Kluyveromyces lactis: one gene and its partner. The protein of the gene in region 1 binds, or shares a complex with, the protein of each later gene. Links are inferred from orthologs where the notes say so. Each region holds a gene or a part of one and is shown on either strand. Other genes may lie near its edges.

What was found.
Region 2: GON7 (region 1) and PCC1 share a complex: the UniProt entries of both Saccharomyces cerevisiae proteins name them as parts of the EKC/KEOPS complex. The link is inferred for Kluyveromyces lactis from reciprocal best matches to the Saccharomyces cerevisiae genes GON7 and PCC1.

Annotation. Positions count from the first base shown.
Region 1 is NC_006037.1:564,798-567,042, reverse strand, and holds GON7 (chromatin DNA-binding EKC/KEOPS complex subunit GON7), read right to left. Parts: upstream 868-2,245; coding exon 508-867; downstream 1-507. Other genes in the region: FEN2 (Fen2p), read right to left, coding at 1-263; RIM1 (Rim1p), read right to left, coding at 1,224-1,616. UniProt on the Saccharomyces cerevisiae protein: Component of the EKC/KEOPS complex that is required for the formation of a threonylcarbamoyl group on adenosine at position 37 (t(6)A37) in tRNAs that read codons beginning with adenine.
Region 2 is NC_006037.1:48,915-51,032, forward strand, and holds PCC1 (chromatin DNA-binding EKC/KEOPS complex subunit PCC1), read right to left. Parts: upstream 861-2,118; coding exon 826-860; intron 748-825; coding exon 519-747; downstream 1-518. Other genes in the region: KLLA0_A00550g (uncharacterized protein), read left to right, coding at 1,185-2,118. UniProt on the Saccharomyces cerevisiae protein: Component of the EKC/KEOPS complex that is required for the formation of a threonylcarbamoyl group on adenosine at position 37 (t(6)A37) in tRNAs that read codons beginning with adenine.

The sequences.
Region 1 (2,245 bases):
ATACCCCAAGCAAAAGTGCAGAAACTCAACCAAATCCGAGGTTTGATTCTCAATAGAATCAAATTATGAGGGATCATACCTAACAAATATCCAACGGTGAAACACGTATTAGCGATATTGAACTGATTTGACTTGAACCCGAGATCCTCTTTCATACCGGAAACATAAGCATTGGTGAAACCGATTCTATCCACATAGTTGATCCAATATTGCAAGCAGACAAAAGAAAGAACGGTCAAATCGACCCGAAATAGCTTGCCCATGGCGTGATTACACTTTGATGTTATTCAGCTGTCCTTCTAGGACTCTTGGCGGTGTATACCAGTACCTATTTCTCTCTGAAGAGATGTCACAATCTGTTGACTCACCAACTTTAAGATGATCAAAAAACCGGAACGATATAGTACAATTTGATGACACTATTTATATACAAACAGATAATAAGTACGTATAAATACCATTCAACACTCAAACGACAGAATTCGAAGCTCTCGATCTGCAGAATCTTCAGGTTTCTTCAGAACCATCCAATAGATCGTTTATCTCTTGTTCTTGCTTGCTGTTACGAGGTTTTTTCACGTGATTGATCTTCTCAGTCAAATACTCATTGATATCGTCTTGTAATCCGGTCAATTGCATCCGCAGTTGCGAAAGCGTGGTATATTGATCGATTCCTGTCTTACTATTGACGTTATCAACCTTCTTTGGGTCACTAGGTTTATCGACGTCTTGATGCCCTTGTTTCAATACATAATCTGAAGCACCAGTAGTTCTTCCCTCCGTAGTCTGGTACCTGGGGTCAGAAGGATCGACTTCGAATTCATGAGTTGATTTGGGTCCGGTATATGTAGCGTGTGGTAAAGACATTGGTTGATCCTTGTGTTCGATACCCTTTTTTATCTTTTTAATACCTTGTTGATGAGATGAGATGATGATTTAACATTAGAAATCTTGACAATATGATAAATAAGAAATGCTATTCATCAGAACATGTCCTGTGACACAATGGGGGAAAAAAAAAGGCATACTAGTAGAAGTAAAGGCTGGGAGTGAGATTCGAGATGTCCTTGATAGAACTTATTAGATAAAAACAGTATTTATACGTAATTACTAAGAGACAGAGAGAGTATATAGAGGTAGTCAAAAAAATACTCCATGTGGAATAATACATTATTAGCAGCCGAGAGAAAACAACACGAATTGGTTAACAGATCACAGCATTCTTAAGCTTGTTGTTCTTCTTCAGTTTCAGGTGCCTTTGGGTTCTTCAACAAGTTGATATCCCTTTGAACCAAACTCAAACTTTGGCCCCTGGAACCATCTTCTCTTTCGAAAGTATAGTTAGAAGCATCAGCTTCGATGTAAACCAAAGCACCTTTCTTGACGTATTGTGTCATGAAATTGATGTGGTTAGTGTTGAAAACAGTGACATTGAACCAGTTTGTGTTGCTGTCCTTTCTTGGCTGAGAAGCAATGGAGTATTTCAAGTAACGAGTATCGTTAGCAGTAGTAAACTCTTGGTATTCGCTACCAATACGGCCGATAATGGACATCTTGGCAAAATCATTGGTGCGGGCAGTGGCCGAAAAGGCACGGCGTTGGGCTAATCTGAACATTGGGTGTTTAATTGTTTAATGATAATGATAATTTATCACTGGGCTGGGAAGTATAACTGTATTTTCACACGTATTCTTCTCATACTAATTCAGTCTTGATATTTGTTAAGGTAATTTATAAAACCGAATTATATCAAATGTCTTTATAAACAAAAATGTATATGAACGGAGAGTAAGAAATGGCACATTTACAATAAGAAAGAACATGCAGATGCGGGAAAAGAGAAACCGTGGCAATGTTTCGCATTGCAAATGGAGATTCTAGTTTCTCTTGTGACAAATTAGATATCAGAGGCGTATATTGTAATGTTTATGCTGTCATGAAACGAGTGCATTTGCTGGTATTTACGTTTATCGCGTCTTTACCAGTAAGAAACTCTTCGAGTTATCACCATTGTTATCCGGGTAATTGAAGCATGTGATAATCACGTGCCTTGTATTCTATTGTCATTACCCGGTTTTGAGTCAATGTTTCCAACATGAAATGCCCCTCGTTGGCTTTGTCTTTCCCCTGTCATCTCGTTCTTTTAAAGGCCTGGTATCTATGCCTGACTCAAATAACAAACTTGACTATCTTCGTTACAGATTGACTTGAGTGCGTTCATTCTAACCCGTGGTTTACTCTAGAT
Region 2 (2,118 bases), about 520 kb from region 1:
AGATTTAAAAAATTGATAGTAAGGCATATGTATATATACATTAATAAGTTGGCTTGGAAACGGAAGGGGAAAGGAAAAGTTCTACGACCGGTTTGTATCTGTTTGCCAAACCTTTACATATTACCTCAATCATTTTTCTTTTCTTCGTCTGAAAGCTGGTGATGTACTCTGCGTGTCTCCACAACTCGAAATGGTAACGACATCTCACATGACGACGGTCTTCTTTGATTCTAATGCATGGATACGAATTGTCGCTAATCAGTACGATGCTTTATTGTAGAACTTGGCTATAGACTTAGGGATTTCATGACACTGTTGGTAAATATTGCTAGGCTTGATCCTTAACTTTTTTCTTCACTTTCGTTCCTGCATAATATGAATAACGAATGCAATGACACAAATTGTTCTGCGTTTAGTTTTTCTGCCTTAAGAAATTTCATAGTACCATAGGTTAGAAAGTAATAGAAAGATGGGAAGATGATGAAAAGGCACCCCGAACGTGTACTGTTCTGTTTGCATTAGCACAACTCATCAATAGTTTCTACGATTGTCTTGATTGATTCAATGACACTGTTCACACCTACACGTAAAATACGCTCGTCAACGCTTTCAAAATCACATATAAGTTTGGTGTCTTGCGTAGAATAAGTAACTTGGAAATCCTCTGGTTTCATGATGGGGTCTGGAAGCAGCACTTTCCTTGCTACATCAGCTTGTTTAATGCTTTCAAATGGTATTTCCAAATGTCTGTACGGCATTTTACATCACAACTTGTTAGTATTTCAAGTTATAAACTTGCATTCATAAGAGCCAGAAATAACATACAAAGAGTGCTCGAAAGACGTGTCTCCTTTATTCATCTTAAAAGAGTACTATTTATCCGCTGATTGAACTCACTACTGCAGCAAGTTTCAAGTGTGTATCATTCATAAAGATCTCAAAGTCAATAAGTTCATCCTGAACATGAACCACACACAGTACGGATGCGTTTTTCGAAGACTTTTTTGATTTCTAATTGGGTAAAAATAACAGAACATCAAGTTTGAAGGTAGTTTAGATCAAGCATGGATTTAAGTCTTTAATATCTGACTTACTATCAAAATGCCCGTCCTGGTACCAGGTGCGAAGATAATTTATTATCAGCTAAGGATTGGCAGGCCGATCTTCAAGGATAAAATTTTCTCATGGCCAGAATGCCTGACGAGTCTAACGTAACTAAACAAGAATTAGGGATATATAACGGTGTCTCATTTACAATTGTCACAAAGCTTTTAGCAGAAGGTGCTAAATCGTACCAACTTGGTTCGAAACTCTTAGATGATGAGAAGCTTCTCGCTAATAAGAAATTTGAATATTCGGGGGAACTGCTCATCGTAGATTCGGTGTTTTCAGGATCTGGCCGGGATAAAGACTGCGATTTCGCCACGAACGTCATAGCACAATTCTTTGAGCAGGTTATTGTCCCTTACCGCCTAATAAAAACTACATCCAAGTCATCTGTCATAGAACTGGCCTCGAGCATTGACAGCACTAGACAGTACACTGTTCTCTTTCTTTCTGGTGATACATCGATATCAGAATTCGTTAATAACCTGCCCTTGAACCACGACTGTATTTCAGTGCTTCCATTCCCAATGGGTACAGGAAATGCATGGGCAAGCTCTTTGAAGTTGATGGATCCAGCTGTCATATTCTCACAATTTGTCAATGGTAAGTTGTCCTGCAACGATTTCCCGTTGTATAGGGCAACTTTTGACAACGGTTATGTCCTTAAATTCTTCATAATTTTGTCACTGGGATTTCATGCAAATTTACTTCATCTCTGCGAAGAAGATGAGTACCAGAAAATGGGCATTGAAAGGTTTAGAGTTGCTAGCCAGCGAATTTTAAGAGAATACAAGCTCGAATCTCGCGTCTCTATTCCCGATATTCTGGAAGGATCTTTTAGTTATTTTGCGTTAATAAATACCACAAATCTGGAGCCAACTTATATGCCATCTCCCGATTCTGATCCATTGGAATCACAACTACATGTATTGGCATACCAGTCTTCTCTGGATAGAGTAGAATTCCAGAAAAGGGTATTTATGGGTTATTCAAATACGAAGCATTCAAACA